Arabidopsis thaliana: one gene and its partners. The protein of the gene in region 2 interacts with the protein of the main gene of each other region in a pairwise test. Each region holds a gene or a part of one and is shown on either strand. Other genes may lie near its edges. The genes, in order: AT4G13530, TED6 and AT4G10080.

Evidence for each region.
Region 1: the proteins of TED6 (region 2) and AT4G13530 interact in a protein complementation assay, tested with the Arabidopsis thaliana proteins (one large-scale study listed by BioGRID).
Region 3: the proteins of TED6 (region 2) and AT4G10080 interact in a protein complementation assay, tested with the Arabidopsis thaliana proteins (one large-scale study listed by BioGRID).

Annotation. Positions count from the first base shown.
Region 1 is NC_003075.7:7,864,318-7,870,430, reverse strand, and holds AT4G13530 (uncharacterized protein), read right to left. Parts: upstream 4,104-6,113; 5' UTR 3,624-4,103; coding exon 2,937-3,623; intron 2,002-2,936; coding exon 1,876-2,001; 3' UTR 1,255-1,875; downstream 1-1,254. Other genes in the region: AT4G13540 (golgin family A protein), read right to left, coding at 1-95, 172-535; SMAP1 (small acidic protein 1), read right to left, coding at 5,781-5,969.
Region 2 is NC_003070.9:16,573,396-16,577,700, forward strand, and holds TED6 (tracheary element differentiation-related 6), read left to right. Parts: upstream 1-2,363; 5' UTR 2,364-2,556; coding exon 2,557-2,907; 3' UTR 2,908-3,146; downstream 3,147-4,305. Other genes in the region: FTM1 (Plant stearoyl-acyl-carrier-protein desaturase family protein), read left to right, coding at 4,267-4,305. UniProt on the Arabidopsis thaliana protein: Involved in the secondary cell wall (SCW) formation of vessel elements (e.g. protoxylem and metaxylem), thus promoting tracheary element (TE) differentiation.
Region 3 is NC_003075.7:6,298,530-6,304,849, forward strand, and holds AT4G10080 (uncharacterized protein), read right to left. Parts: upstream 4,216-6,320; 5' UTR 4,032-4,215; coding exon 3,180-4,031; intron 2,051-3,179; coding exon 1,925-2,050; 3' UTR 1,490-1,924; downstream 1-1,489. Other genes in the region: AT4G10070 (KH domain-containing protein), read right to left, coding at 65-166, 253-438, 530-921, 1,065-1,230.

The DNA of each region.
Region 1 (6,113 bases), on a different chromosome or scaffold from region 2:
TGTCTCAATGGTTTCTCCCCTAGCTTTAACTTCCTTTCTGAGTTCTTGCACTGCCTTTGCAACTTCTTCTTGCGGTTTCTGTCTCAGTGCCTCTCCTACAAAAGAAAAAAAAAACTCATTACCTTCCTTTCTCAAAACATCAAAGATGAGATTATTTGTGAAAGGTCTTACCATATGTTGTGTGGATGAGATCATCAAGCTCATTCTTGATAGCAAAGTAGAGCTGCTTCCACCTCTCCACAGCTTCTTCCCTCACTGCTCTCTCTAAACACATCTGTTCCACGACCCATTCCCACTCGTGTTGTTTCGCCTTTCCTTCTTCCTTCTCTTCCATCTTCTGTCTCAGCCTCTTCACTTCCTCTCTCAGTCTCTTCCTCTCTTTCCTCCACTCTGTCTCTGCCATCTTCAACGCCAAAATCACTCTCTCTTTCTCATCAAGCTCTCTTCTTGTTTCTCTCCTTCTCTGTTCATTTGCTTTCACCTTGATGCGTCTCTTACTACTGTTTCTCTCATCCTTGCTTGTAGAACCACCCATGAAGAAAAGCTCTCTTTCTCTCTCTATCTCTGTAGAACTTTTGTTCTATTTTGAATGTCTTGTTTGTTTCATTCAATGAAAAAAAAAAATGATTATTGTGAGTGAAGAAAGCTCCACTTTGCGGCATTGCAGACACATGTTATTTATATAATATGGTCCAAACCAAAAGCATCTTCACTTATCCTAAACACACAATAGGAAAATTATGGAATGTCTTATCACAAAACTAATCACACAAACACACATTGTGGCTTGAGTTGATTATTTCTTATGGAAACTGAGATAAAAAGACAAAAGAAGTTATGGGCACTCTCAGGACATAGTACTGAATAGGAAACAAGAGAAAAAGGAATTGAAGTGGTGTTACAGAATATGAAAAGCAGTGTTTTTTCTTCAATCTCCAATTAATGGTGTGGGCTTTGATTGTTTGTCACATGCATCATTAACATGGACCCATACCTATTTACTCCTATTTTTTCTTCCCAATATTTGTAGGTTTTATAGGTTTCTCTCAAACTTTTGGTCTAATTTGTCTTCTTCTCATGGAGGAAATTGTTACATAGGTCTTAAGTTATTGTCTGTGTTTTTATAGACCGAATCAAACATAGCAAACCAAAATTTGAGTATGTTACGTGAAGACAATGGGTAGATTTATCTTGAAGTTCGAATTTTGGTTTGCTTTATTTCCGTTAAACGTCAATAGTTAAACTTCATGAGTATGCTTTAGCTTTGGATCCTTAGTTCCTTACAATACTCACTTGTGATTTAAGTATGATAAGTGAGTATACCAAACTTTGGTGGTACAATGGTCAACGAATAATAGAGTGAAAGAAGACAAAGAAACAAGAAGAAGAGACATATATCTAATCACAATTGACATCGTAGAGTTTAGGATAGCTATAAAGTGAAAGATAGACTCCTACATGGCTACATCAATCAGAAACATTGCCCTCTTCACGTGAACTTCCCTGTTAATTTGGGTTTTTGTCTTAACCCTTTTCATATCTTAAAGAGTCGTACTTTCTAAATAAACAACCAAAATTCCGTTATTGGCTTTTGTCTTTGTACAATCTCTTTACGACACTGCCTACTAAGACCAGCTCAGAAGCTTATCAAGGTTAGATTCTGACCGCAACCTTCCAAAACTGCACTATGATTCTGATCCAATTTGTATTCCACCAAGCAAGTAACAATATATACACACACAGTACAAACTTACAAGCATCTTTTTGTATGTTTTTGTAACATTTTTAATACAATCATATGATACATGCACCAACCACATCAAATCATATAATCTCACATATATGCATTATTATGCCCTCAAATTCACTTAATTTTCACCTTAAACTCATCATGGACCACTGGTTCATACCCACTGATGACGGAAGTGCTGGCCGGATTATGGGCACACGTTTCACTACCGAGATTGCTTCGTTCCACCGAGCAGCATGATTCGCCACCTTCTGAAAAAAGTATTTCATTCAAAAGACAGACAATACAAGAATCAGATGGTGTAAAAATCTTCCGAATTGTGTTCTGAAATACTTAGAACTTTTGTTCTTCATTGCCATGAGTGAAAAAGATGAATACAAGTCAAGCAAGAACGTGAATTTCAGCAGCAAAAGACATATTTGATCCGCCAAGTTATATGCAACCGTAAGCAGGATTCAAACTTGGGTCCTTACTGAGGCTTTGTACCAGTGGAAGATCAGTTAAACTAAACTTTCAGGTTTTACCACTACTTTTATCCATTCCTCAAAGAAACATTTTACGATAAGATTCGTAATATATAGTAACTTCCATCTCTGGCTACCAACATGAAAAATCTACAAAGAATAACTACTGAAAACTAGTCTAAAGATCTTTCAACTATCCTTTAGCTATTAGAAAGAACATGCAAACTCAAAATGTAAAAATAAAAAATATGTTGTTTAAGCATTATAGGAGATGAAACAACAGAGAGGACGGACAAAGAAATAGATCACCCAGGTGGTATTCTAACGACTATTAACACTGCTCTCACCAACTACACATTCTATGCCAAAAGTATCTATCAAGAACTCAACCGATGCAGTGGTGCTATATCAAAAACCCTTAGCAAGATAGTGTAAATGGGTACGAGTGTATGCCTGTTGGTGAATACTATGACCTCGAGTCGCTGGTTGCATCTAAACTACTTAGCAACAAGAAACTGGTCCCAGGACAAACAAGGGGATGATCTGATCTTCTCATTTTCCCCATCAAAACAACAATTGACACTAATAAAACATCTAACTAAGCAGTAAAAGTTGAACTAAGCAGAGCTCATATCACACCAAAAGATCATACAGTAACCACATGACTCATGAATCAACATACTCAAAGAACAATAAACAATCAAATAAACCAAGCTAGTTACCTTATCATCCAAAAGAACCTTAAGCTGCAAGGAACGAGTCTTCTTCTTCATATTGTACAATCTACGCCCTAACATAACAAAACCCACAAATGCTGCAGCCATGGACAAAGACCAAATAGGATTAATTTTCAACACACAATACTTCAACACCTCTATTGGAATTTTCCACCACACAAACCCTTTCTCTTCTCCTCCTCCACCACCAGATTTAACACCAGGATCAATAGAAACAGAGTTTCCTTCTCCTTCCACTGGATGAAGTAAAGATTCTTCCTTTCTCTCATCAGAGCTTATCAAATCCATGTCTTGAGCTATACTTTCACTATATTCAACAATACCCACTTCGTTTCTCTCTATACCCATCTCGTTATTCACATCATCATCCACTAACCTCTGATCATCAAGCCGATCACTGCTTGAATCAGACCATAACTCACTAAAATGCTTCGGACCATAAGGAACATCGGAGCTAGGTTCGATCCATCCTGGACTACCCGATTGAACAGACCCATCTTCATCGTTTGCCTCCAAACGAGACAAACCACTCTGGTTCTCAAGAGAGAAATGATCAAACCTAATCATACCTTGCGTGCCATCATCAATCTCCTCCAAGCTCCTCGAATTGTCATCTTCCGTGGTAGATCTCGAGCTCTGAAGTATTTCCCAGTCTTGAATCTCTCCTTCCATGTCAAAGTTAGGGGTTTTTTCGATCCAATTGAGGAAAAGAAACAAAAGGAGTCTTTGTGTTGGGGCGAAAACAGAACCGAAACGCTTCTTTCTCTGTGTGGAGATCACAGAAACACTAGGTCGTGGTGTTAACGTGGCGTGGTGTGATTGGATAGAGGATGAAGTCAAAAGAGTGGTTTCGTTGACGTGTGGGTTTATGATAACTATATGGATTGACAGTGTATGTTGTTACGGTGGGCCGAGAAGTAGAGGACCTTCAACCGCTTTTGCTAATCAGATATGCTCAACTTGAAACTGGAGGGAGAGGAAGCAAACACGTCATATAAATGCATTTTGTGAAGAACATCATAATTTATTGATACCGAACCAAATCCAATAGAATGTATTTTTACTTTTTACTATTTTACTTTTCGTTTTTTTACTTGTTTTTTCTCGTTCAAATTAGGTGATCGATGAATTGATAATTTAATTGTAATCCGCGTAATTCATATTCCTTCGGTTCTATTTTGTTGATTTTGAAGAAAAAAAAAATTGTTTCAAAAAAATTGATTTTTTAAAATTTTTATGTAATATTTATTAGTTTTTATTAATGAATTGTAAACTTTAATAAAAATAATTAAATTTTATTGGTTTAAAGTGATAGAAAATTGTAAAACACAAAATATAATATATTTAAAATCAACTTTAATATATTTACTTTTGTGTGTTTTTTTCTAACAATCAAACAAAAAAAACAGAGAAAATATTTATTTATTTTTGCTAAGAAACATAGGAAATATTTAATATTAATCGAAACCCAACTTTTTTTTCAATAAATGTTTAGCGTTAATATCATAGTTTAACAAACATTCTTTTTTATAACTCAAAATTTTAGAGTTTAGTCATTAAACCAAGATGTGGAGATTTTATAAAGGTTGAGGTAGGGAGGAGAAGAAAGTTAAGAGGCTCATGGATGGTGGCTTGCAGAGATTTGGGAGTTTTTGAGAGAGTTGATGACGTGGCAACTTGAGAACACATTTGTTAAAAGGCTGAGGTGGGTAGTGTGAGAGGCCTCAAATAACTTTTTTTTTATTAGTAAGAGATTCTGAAAAGAGGTTACCGATATCTAATGAATTGCTATCGAATGTTGAAATCTCATGAAATTTGGCTACACTACATACATACGACTATAAGGCAAGTAACAAAGACTGCTAGGGACTGACAAAGTGACAAGTGACATCTTTATGCTTAGCCTCCTTTTCCTTTCTACCATAGTTGAACATCAAGCACATTATTTCCATCTCAAAACCGGCCCAGAGAATATAATATGACACGATGCAACAACAGAACTTGGCCAGGGGAATTATACACCCCCTCCTACATACCACAAGACAGGAATTATACACCCCCTCCCACATACCACAATACAACACACATTCAGAGACCACGAGATGGTGAATTTACAAGAAATCAACATGGAACAAGATACCATATCCATATAAATCATTGACTGATGTATCTGAGTTACATGGAAGATACAAGAGACTATTTCTCTTAGGCCATTAAATTGTTGGTAGGAATATGTGCTTCAGTATGAGTTCCCTAGTTCACTTAATCACTAGTGGAAAGTTACAGCTTACATGAGGATTTCATCTCTCACCGGGAAGTTTCTCTAGACCCGGTGAGTCACATGAATATCAACACAATGAAACACATCAACACATATTTCAGAGACCTCAGATGTTGAAATTACAAGCAATCACAATGGAATATGGTACCAAATGAATCAATTAGTTTCTATCTTAAGCCAATATCAATAACTTTCACATTCTTCACATACAAATTCACAACATTCTTCACATACAAAGACTCTAATTTTCAGTTACTAAAATACCAAAACACTAAAGAAAATTAGGTTTCAATCTCCAAAAAACATCATCATCTCCAGAACCAAGGAAAAAAAAAACATTCTAAATTTGAGCCAAAAAAAACAATCAGACAAAGCACAATAACACACAAATCAAATGTTTTAGTAATCCAAATGAAGAAAAACATTGTTACATACCACAAACATAAAAATCCCAGAACTTATTACACACTTACTACATAGGTTTCTCCACAAATTACATCAAGTTTAGGAAAAAAAACTGAAATCTTAAAGAGGAAACTTAACCGGATTTAGTTGATATCGGTGTCATCGAAATCATCATCGAATTTGTTGAAGAAATCGGCGTCGGCGAGCTTGTTATCTGAGACAAGTCCTCCTTCGTTGAGTATCTCCATGGCTTCGAGGTCATCAACGTCCATGGCCATCGAAGAACCTGCATCATCCATCTCCGATAACATATCCAGCTGCATCGGCCTCATTTCTCTCTTCGTCTCTTCTTCGTTTTCTTCTTCGGGAAAGATCTAAAATGTTACAGTGACTGACTGTCGAAGTTTTGATGTTGAGGTCATTTTCTTTTAGGCCTAAATGTTGTGGCCCATCTTTATCTTCTTAGGCCCAATTGA
Region 2 (4,305 bases):
TAAATAGAGTGGCTTTTGGAAACGCAAGTCTTGTTTGCTTTCCAAGTAAACATGAGCTGCAAAGTTCTTTTTTTATGCTTCCAAGTGAGAATCCTTGAACCAACTCCTTTTGCATCATCGATTTAATTGTATCAAAGTTCACATGTCCTAGCCTTGCATGCCATCTACTTGATTCACTTATTGTTGTTAAGTGCAAACGTGTAGCTCCTTTTATTCCCATTCTTACTTTGTAAAGATGATTCTTCGATCTACACGCTTTGACAAGTAGTTTCCCATCACGATCATGCATCGTTAGTTGATCTCCTTTCATCGTAATGTTGCAGCCTGATTCTGTAGCTTGTCCTAAACTGATGATGTTGCTCTTAAGATCCAGAATGAAATAGACATTAGATACTTTTTGTTGATCACCGTTTCCTTTTATGTCGATACGGGAGTCATCTCTGAAATGTACTTTGCCTGAAACTGAATCATCCAATGTTGAAAATACCTTATATCCCCTGTCATATGGTTTCTAGCTCCATTATCTAGATACCATATGTTTTCTTCTTCGGTGTTTGCTTCATACATGCTTGGTACACAATTCTTCTCATTCAAAAATATCACCTCATGCATCATGAGCTCATCCGCTTCATGTGTCTCTTCTTTGTCATGTTCTTGCGTTTCCTGTAGCTTTAACAATCGATCAAGACATGTTGAAGCGTAGTGACCTAACTTGTCGCATCGGAAACACATTACTCTTGACGTATCTCTTCCTCCATATGAACGTCCACATCCTCTCCCTCTTTCATATCCTCTTCCTCCTCGACCTCTGCCCTGGAATCGTTTCCTGGATCTCGATTGTTTGAGTAACTTCCTTGAGAATCCATATTTGAATACAGAAGCTTGCTTTGGTCTTCTTGAGGATCATCTCCATCAAAAACATGCACGTTCTTCATATACTTTCAGCCGACCAACTATGTCATCAAAAGTTATGGTGTTAAGATCTAAGACTTGTTCTAGTGCAGCTACTATGTGAATGTATTTTCTTCGTGGAACACTCTTAAGAAACTTCTTAACAAGTCTTGATTCTTCAATAATTACACCTAAAGCAGCTGATTTTGCTGAGATCTCAGATAACTTGCCAGCAAAGTCATATATTTTCTCAGAATCCTTCATTGTTAATCGGTCAAATTCGGCCATGAGGGTTTGTAACCTAGCATCCTTGACTCTCTCTACCCCCAGATGTCTTGATTTGATTGCATCCCATACTTCTCTTGCTGTATCAAGTTCTCCGATTTGTAAAGCTAATGCTTCTGGGATTGATTGAAACAACAAAGCACAAGCAACATCACTCTTATCTTCATCAAACGGTTCTGTCACCTTGTCTATCATGTTCCAAGCTTTATGAACCTTTAGTGCCCTCTTCATCCTCATGGCCCATACCGTGTAGTTGATAGCGTTTAGCATAGGACATTGGATTGAAGAGGATCCACTAACTTCTTTCGTTGTTCTAGCTGCGGGAACGATATCACTCATTTCTTCTTATGATTGATTCAATAGCCTCACGCTCTGATACCAAATCTAGAGTTTAAGAAAGATTAAGAACTCAAAATATAAAGAATTACTCTCTTTATTACTTTAGGAAAATAGCTCAAAACCTAAAGCTCTCAATCTCACAATCTCTCTCAAAAGCTCATAAGTTATACCACACATTGGTATCTCCTTATATAATAGAGATTCAACATTATCCTAATCATTAGATAACTCCTAATGAATATTCTAGATAACTCCTAGAATTACAAGGAATTCCTTTTCTCTTAAATAAATAAATGACTTATTACTTAAGTCTTCTTCAAGCTTAATCCAACATATATTGCCTTCTTGGTGGGATAACATAGTTCAAAATACCGAGTTATTCATTGTTGGAATGACTGGTAGAGGTGAAGTTGTGTTGTCACCGTACTGTCTAGTACTAGAACCATGTTACATTGATTAATTCAACCTCGAGAGGAGGAGTTTCACAAGAGTTCAAATACAAGGTCTTGAAGTGCTTATAAGGGTACGAGAGTTTACACTTCTCTAGACTATGCTGAGAATTTGAAACTTATGTAGGGTTCAAATCTTATTTTTAAGCTTTTGTCTAGTTTTGGATAAAAGAACAAAATATCAAAAATCTTTTGTATGTTCATATATATTTTATTTTTTTTAATTAATATTTCATTACTTTTCTTTAGTATATGGAGTATTTTTATGAAACAAGAATTGTGAGAATTATGAATCTTACCTCTTACAATTCTTACATATTTTTGGATTACACCAACAAAATAAGATATTTTGAGCTGAGTGCCTGTTTTTCTTGGCTTTTACTCTTTTTTTTTTTTTTTAAACATTCTAGGTTAGCTTAACAAAAACAACAAGCAAACAAAACCTTAGGATGGGAGTTAAGTCATTACAAACTTAGCAGCAACCTATACTCTCAATACTCACTACAAATAAGCCCCATGATTCTCCATCTTCCTCAAACCATTTCCACCTCAAGAAATAAATCATCAGAGCCTCACACATCAAACACAAGTAATGGCCTCCACGGATTCAGTTTACCGTCCCACACCAACTCCAGACCATGACACTACTGTTGTAGTAGTTGTGTTTGTTTCTTTGGGTTGTGTCATGTTCTTGGCGTTTCTAGCGTTTGTTATCTGGTTCTTGATCAAGAAGAGATCCAGGAAGCACCGTGAGAGATCTGAAGCGGTTCGCGTGGATGAACACTTTAAGATGAAGGAAGCTATAGTCGAAGGACCTAATGGACAAAAGTCTGTGGTGTTATCAGTTGAGGATGATGTTAAGATCGAAGACGCGATCAAGAGAGAAGAGAAAGATCTGAAGAAAGATGGTGGAGTTGGATCATCAGTCGTTTCCCGTTCGTGAATGAGCTTTCTTCATTCATAATGTTACCTATCTATTTATTTATATTAAAATTGTGGTTGTGTGTGAATCATTTGTTTGGTGAAATAAAAAAAAAGCATCTGAAATATTTATTTAAATTCTTTGGACAAAGATGGTTCTTCAAACTTGGGTTGGTGAATGGTGATGGTTTTTATGTTCTAGGAGCGAACTTTTATCTCTATCTCTCTAAGAAAAGTAATCTTTCAAAAAAAACTGTAGAGAAATAAAATAGATAGTTGTTTTTGGTTAAAACAGATAATTTGTAACTGTAACTCGATAAGAATATTAATTAAAAAAAACATACAATGTCAAATGAAATCATACTTAAAATTGGACATTTTTCTATTTGAAAACTTGGTATTGGTATACTAACACATATACCATGTTAATCTTCTCATTATAGTTCTACTTAATATTTACCAAAACAAAACAAAAAAAACAATTATACGTATTTAATTAACAAAACAAATACATTAATTCTGAAGATGGAGAAAAAAATTGTGTCTTGATAATGCTAACTTACCAAGTCTCCATACATGATAAGAAAATTACACACACATATATATATATATATATAAATATGTCATATATAAGTTTATTTTTGAGCTAAATCTTCAAAAAGTTTCTATTGTAATTTCTAAGCTTAAACAAAAATTGATACATTCATTGTCTAATACTGTTCTGGTTGAATTCAATTTTATATTCAATTAAAATTAATATTTTCTTACCAAACATCACATTCATACATAAAATAAACATTGGAATTATCATTCTGAAACTAATACAACATTTAAATATTAGAAATCCTATAAAATAAAAATTCGTCCTTTCTTTTCTTTGTCAACCATAAGATCCAATGGCTCGTTGAATACGTAGTTACGTACAACTGGCATTCTCGTGTACAAAGTCACTAAAACAAAAACAAAATCCATTATAGATATTAAAACGACTAAATTTAATTATAGCAATAACAATTGAACAGCAAGATCACAAATTTAGAATTCAAGAGCTTAAAAAATTCATTAAAAGTAGAAAAATACAAAAATAATACATTAAAATTCAAAGTTCATATAATTGGAAGTAAAAAGAAATTTTTTTATCACTCTCAAGTTTTGTCTTAAATGGGACAAATTTAACTTTTTAAACAAAACCCACAGAATCTCAAACCAGTTAGCACCCCTTGTTTCACCCCACGGTTTGTTTAACGAACAACAGCCAACCACCAAATTACTATTATACCCTCATCACCATTTGACTATTTATTAGTCCACACTCTATAGTAGTTGTTACATTCAAAGAACTCCAAAGTAAATTAAAGTCTTCTCTACTTCACCATAAAAAATGCTTGCGCACAAGTCTCTTCTCTCCTTTACCACCCAA
Region 3 (6,320 bases), on a different chromosome or scaffold from region 2:
CTGTCAGTTGAAGCTGAATTAGATATGATTAAATTGTTGCTGGAAAGAATAAACTAGGGAATACCTTATCATTTGGAACTTTAATCTCTATCTGTTCTGGGATCCCTATCGCATGAGTGGAAGGATGGCCCCTAGCAACTAGGGCAGGTGAACCTCCTGCTTCAGCCTAATGTAGTACGAGAAGAAATTCTTGTAACCAAATATCTTACAGATACAAAGATGCCAAAACTACTGAAAAAAACAACTGTTAACCTCTGCTATGACTGCACTGATAAGCTTCTCAGCACTTTCAATGCATGCAACACTTCCAATTATCTCCACTGGTCTTAACGCTGAGCTCGGATCAGCTTCTGAATCCCTCAAAATTTGGATTTTGGCACCAGAGTTAAACTGAAGATACCGTATAGTCTCCCCACCTTTACCAATCAACACACCTACCTGCAAAGCATTGTGATAAGCACGTCAGTGAAAGTATTCCGAAAGAAAAAAACTCACAGAACAGCCAAAAATGAAAACCAAATCATATCACCTTTGAACTTGGGACATCTATCCTACGAGTTGTCGACTGTGTGCCATCAACCTCCTTCTGAGATTTTTCACCATCCACTTCCTTATTTTCTTCTTTACCATTCTCTTGAGAACTACCATCATTCACTTCCTTACTATCGTCATCAATCACCTTCTGATGTTCACCACCATTGACATCCTCAATACAACCTTGTTGGTTATCCTCAGGCTTAACCTGATCATCTGTTGGCTGATCTACACTACAAATCTTATTTTCAGACTCATCAGCATGAATAGGATCCTGAACTTCCTCAACAAGTGGTACAGAATCTTGATTCTCTTCCTTAGGTTCCTGAAGCTGTTCTTCCTCTTTTACCTCCATTGAAGACCCATTTTCTTGTGTATTCCCATAATCTACAACAAAGGCCGAAGAACAACAATGAGAAAGACTGATTTATCAACAAACTCAAAGAAATCTCTTTTTTTGAAAACTATAACCATAGAACATCATAAAAATCAAAACTTTAGTTTATAAGAAGCCAAAGAGACAGAAACACCTAAACCATCTTGAGCTTCATCTTCTAGCTTCGCTCGTTTAGCCTGAGAAGAATCAGATGTTTGATTGCTATCATCCACGATATTTCCATTAAGCTCAACTTCGTCGAGCTTTCGCTTGAGATCGACAGGCGGCGTAGAGATAACAACAAAATCTTCCTCCGTCATCTGGAAACGAATCGTCCGGCGAGGAATTTAGGGAAAGCTGAGTACTGTAGGGTTTGGGGAAGAAGAGAATTATCTCCGGCAGTGAAAAGAGTTTGGGTTGCGACTCTGAACGGTGGTGGAGAAGTAACGTTTAAGGCTTTAACGTCTATTTATAATGTTCGGGCTTTTATTGGGCCTAAAAATGGGCTACCAGTTTTTTTTTTAAAGTTATCAAAAATAATGATGTTTTCTTTGTTGATCGTCGAGGGGATGTTGTTGAGACGATAGCTTCTACTCAAATTTTGTAGAATCGACAACATAGTAGAAATTTGTAGGGTCTTTATTTCCATTGTAGTGGTTTTATCGACTTTGGACTATGTCCTCCTCTCTATAATAGTTTACAAGCTTGAAACCCCAATGAAATCCATAACAAAACCCACATATAGCTTATGAAATTCTTAAGATCAAACATAGAAAAAGGCTTACCAACTGGGATTTTCAGTCTCTGAACATACATAAATCGCTACGGTAATCACTCTGCAGTGTATCCCACGGTTGGGACACGACTCACATACGCGATTTCATAAGATGGTAAACTACTACTTATGCATAGGTACGACATAAACACATGTATTTGTATTCTTACGGTACATAAAGTGATGGACATTGTATGATTGATTCTCCACTGTGTCTAGGTATTGTAGAAAACGGCTTCTCATCTAAGGCTCAAAACCGGCCATGCGCCAGGCGATGGTAGAGCAGGGCGGATCACAGGGACCCTTCTTACCTCTGTGAACACTTCATTGAGTCGAGCAGCCTGACTCATCACCCGCGACGCCTTCTGCACAGATCATAAACAACCCAAGACGTGATAATGATAGAAGTAAACCAACACCAAACAAATACCAACCAAGCAAAGAGATGTGCGCTAAGGGAAAATATCAAATCACAGCATTTTCAGCGGATGATGCCTCAGTATTTTTGTACTTAATTCAGACAGATTACAAGAACATATTAACTACAAAATCTATATCTTAGAGGGGGGTATTGGACATAAATTCTAGATTTTCAGGTATAATAAAAGAATTTCGAATCTTTCTTCTCAATTCAAATAAATATTTTGCAGTATTTTTAATAGAATTCTACTAGAATTAAGAAGATAAATTACTGAAATCTTTTGTTCCACAATGCTCTTTATCGGGACAGCCACCATGCCCAATCTCTAAAAACTGTACTTTTTCCTTCACAAACCTCTTAACCCAGAAACAATCTACGTTGACGTTTACATGAAATGGAAGAGATCCATATTTTGACAACAACGACAACGACGTCATCACAACCTCCGCTCATCTGCTCTCTATAGATTAACGCACTCTCCTCATATATAATCGAACGAATGATGATCCGAAGAATAAACCGGATCGAAATCACAGATTCTAATAAATGTGTTAAACACTCTCCCTCAGATTTGAGAATTTTTTTTGTATGGTTGAAGCAAATCGATGAAAGAGAAAAAAAGGATGGATGTGTTATATTCTATCCAAATCTCAACTCAAAAACTCAGAATTTGTTCTTCACATTTTAGACCAATTTTTCTATTAAATTCTTGTGAAGTAACGTTGTCAAACAAAACTACCGAAAACTGAATAACACTTGCAACTAATAGAATTAAGAAATGAGCAAGTTAAATAACACAAGAATTTAAAAGAATTTGTGAAATGTCTAATTGAATAACACTAGAATTTAAGATTCTATTGAAGTCTATCAAATTCATGCGTCCAATACCCCCACCTTAATATAAGGCAGGACAAGACAAGAACTAAACTAAACTTGAAATTCTACGGCTCAAGTCAGACCAATTGCATCAACACAACATAGAGTGTAGCTAACTCCTAAAACGTATCAATCTAGACCAGCTTACCAACTTCAAGCAAAATGAAAACACAAGGGTCAATGATAATATAGTGTACCTTATCGTCAATCGTAACTTTAAGATGGAACCTTTGAGCTTTCTTCTTCATATTATACAATCTACGTCCCAAGAGAACCAAACCCATCACAGCAGCAGCCATAGAGACAGACCAAACCGGACCAATCCTAAACACAGAGTACTTAAGAAGCACAAATGGCATCTTCCACCACACAGTCTCTCTACTTTTACCCTCACCACCAGAACTCACGCCTCCAACTTCCACAGTATCTCCTCCACTTCCCTCAATTACTTCACTAGAAGCAACTACACTATCAGAAACAACTTCTTTTTCACCATTCACAACCCCAGAATCTCGAGAAACCAATTCATTTCCCCCTAAATCAGAACACAACTTGCTCGAATCCTCAATAGGTTCTTCAACACCCGATTCGTTCTCACCGTGCCTTCCATCAACGAATTCTTCGAGATTCTCTGTTTCATAGTGAGATACGGTTCCACCAGTTAATTCAGTAGCAGCTTCGCTCTCAACATATTTCTCATTGGCAGCTTCAAAATCACTAAGCCTAACCTCACCATCACCCAAAATTCCAGTTTCTGAATCATAAACCCCAAATTCATTTCTGACACAATCATCACCCGATTGACTAACACTGAACTGATCCAAACCAGAATCAACACTAACCTCACCCGGATTCAGACACTCCGACCCGTAATCAACCCGAAAAGAATCAAAATAACCCGATTCAATCACCCGATCAGTAGCAGAGAAATGATCAGAAAGAATCATACCGTCATCGATTACGCTTGAACTCTCTAATTTCGTCTCCGATGTGATTGAATCAGTTGATTCTGTATCAGAGCCATGATGAAGAAGCTCCCAATCATCCATGATGATCGAATTCGAAGATTTCAGATTGGGATTGCAATAATCAGAAACCCTAATGGATAAAACCCCAAATATTGGAAAAGGATCGCAACAAATTAGAGCGGTTGATGATGGAAAAGAATGGTTCTTATCCACTTTGAGAAAGTAATTACGTGGAGGTATCTAATTGGTTGCGTGTCAATCTCAGTCCTCAACTAAATTTTTTGGCATTAAAGTTTAGTAGATTCAGAGAACTATAGTATTTATTCATTTTGTTCTTTCATTTTTATTTTATTTTTTAAAACGATTTAATTAGGATTCGGCAATAAATCGTATGGTGCGGATCAAATGAATTAAACAAATATGTATCGGTTAAAATAGAGTAGACGATGTAAGAAAAATATATATAATCAAGATTCAAACGGTTGAGGTGGGTTTTGCAAATAAATCCATCGGTAGATTGAAATATTTTCTTATTTATTATTTATAGATTAGTATTTATAATAGTACTGACCAAAAATATAGAAAAAAAAAATCGGTAAAAACTTTAGACCGATTTTATATAGAAATAAATTTAGTTTATAACGGATTATTGTCCGCTCCAAAATTAAATGGTTTAGTCTCTAATAGTTTAGTTTGTTTCGAAAAGAATGGTTCTTATCCACTTTGAGGAAGTAGTTATGTAGAGGTATCTAATTGGTCACGTAACATTCTCAGTACTCAACTAGATCTTTTGACATTAAAGGTTGGTAGATTGAGAGAAGTATGGTATTTATTCCTTTTGTTCTTTCATTTTTTTGGTTTTTCACAATGATTTAATTAGGGTTCACGACGAATCGTATGGTGCAGATCAAATGAATTAATCAAATACTAGATGATTTACCCGAACTATGTACAGGGAGAAATAGTTATATGAAATATATAAACAAGTTTTTGGAAACAGATTTTATATTATCACTTGATATATAAGTGTGAATATTTGAATATGATTTAGTAACTGATATATTTTGGAGATTTTATTAGTTAGGAATTAGGATATTCTATATTTGGAATAAGATTTTAAATTAAAATATTGACCCAAAAGAAAATCTGAAATATCATTCCTATAATTCAGAAATATATTCGAATATTTTTTGTATTTTATAAGATTTTATTTTGGAAACAATTCAATATAAAAACTGAAAAGAGTATGAATAATTATGTTTTAAACGTAATAAATTTTTGATTATCTTTTATTATTCTTCATAATTCTATGTAGTTAGGATTGATTTATTGCATATCCCTTATTTTATTAATCAATTTATATTGTTACGATAAGGTTTTGGGTTGTAAATAAATTTTAACTAAAATGAGTAAATGACTAATTAAATTGAATAAACTGTGTAAAAGTTTTAATAAATTGATAAGGTAAAAATTTGAAAAGAAATAATATTGAAAGTAATCAGTAAGCGGATACATTTTTAACATAGATTAATATTGAAATATTGTTCATAGTGAATGTGTAATAAATGAAATGTTACTAACTAATTTATGTAAAACTATGTTCCGAATATATTCAAGAATCATATGGGCTCACATATACATTTAGATTTTTTGCAATTTATAACAAAAAAATAGAATGTCATATATGTTAAAATTCTAAATGTTTTCTATAAAACCTAAAAAAATAAAGTACGAAACATATAATAAACATTTATATTATATGTTGTTCATCATAATTTATGATATATACTTTTTACTTGTTTGCTCAAATATATATGGTTTTTTGATTAATTTTCTTTATTAATTGCTACTCTCTTAAATGTAGAGGAAAAATATGCATAAGTACCACTAATGGCATTATATGTAATTAGTCTAGTAAATATTGGATAACTATTAAGTTTGTTGAAAGTTTTTCTGGTTACGACATGTCAGCATGATAGTCTTGTAAATCACACGTGAATGTAAGGTTTTTTATTTAAAATACTTCTCAATTAATATATAGGGGATGTATCAGTTAAAATAGAGTAGACGGTCTAAAACCATCTCCAATGCACACCTCTATTTTTTTCTTTCATTTTAGAGACAAATTTATTTTAGAGGAAATTAGATTTTGCTCCAATGTATTCTTCTAAAATAGTTTTTTTCTCCAAAATAGAGAAAATAAATAGATTTTACTCTTTATATAGATTAAAACGTAAGATTCCTTTATTTTAGAGAAAAATCTATTTTAGAGACATATATTGAAGCAAAATGTATCTAACATAGAATCACCTCTAAATGGAGAAAAAAAATAGAGATGGACATTGGAGATGTTTAGAAGAATATAGATTC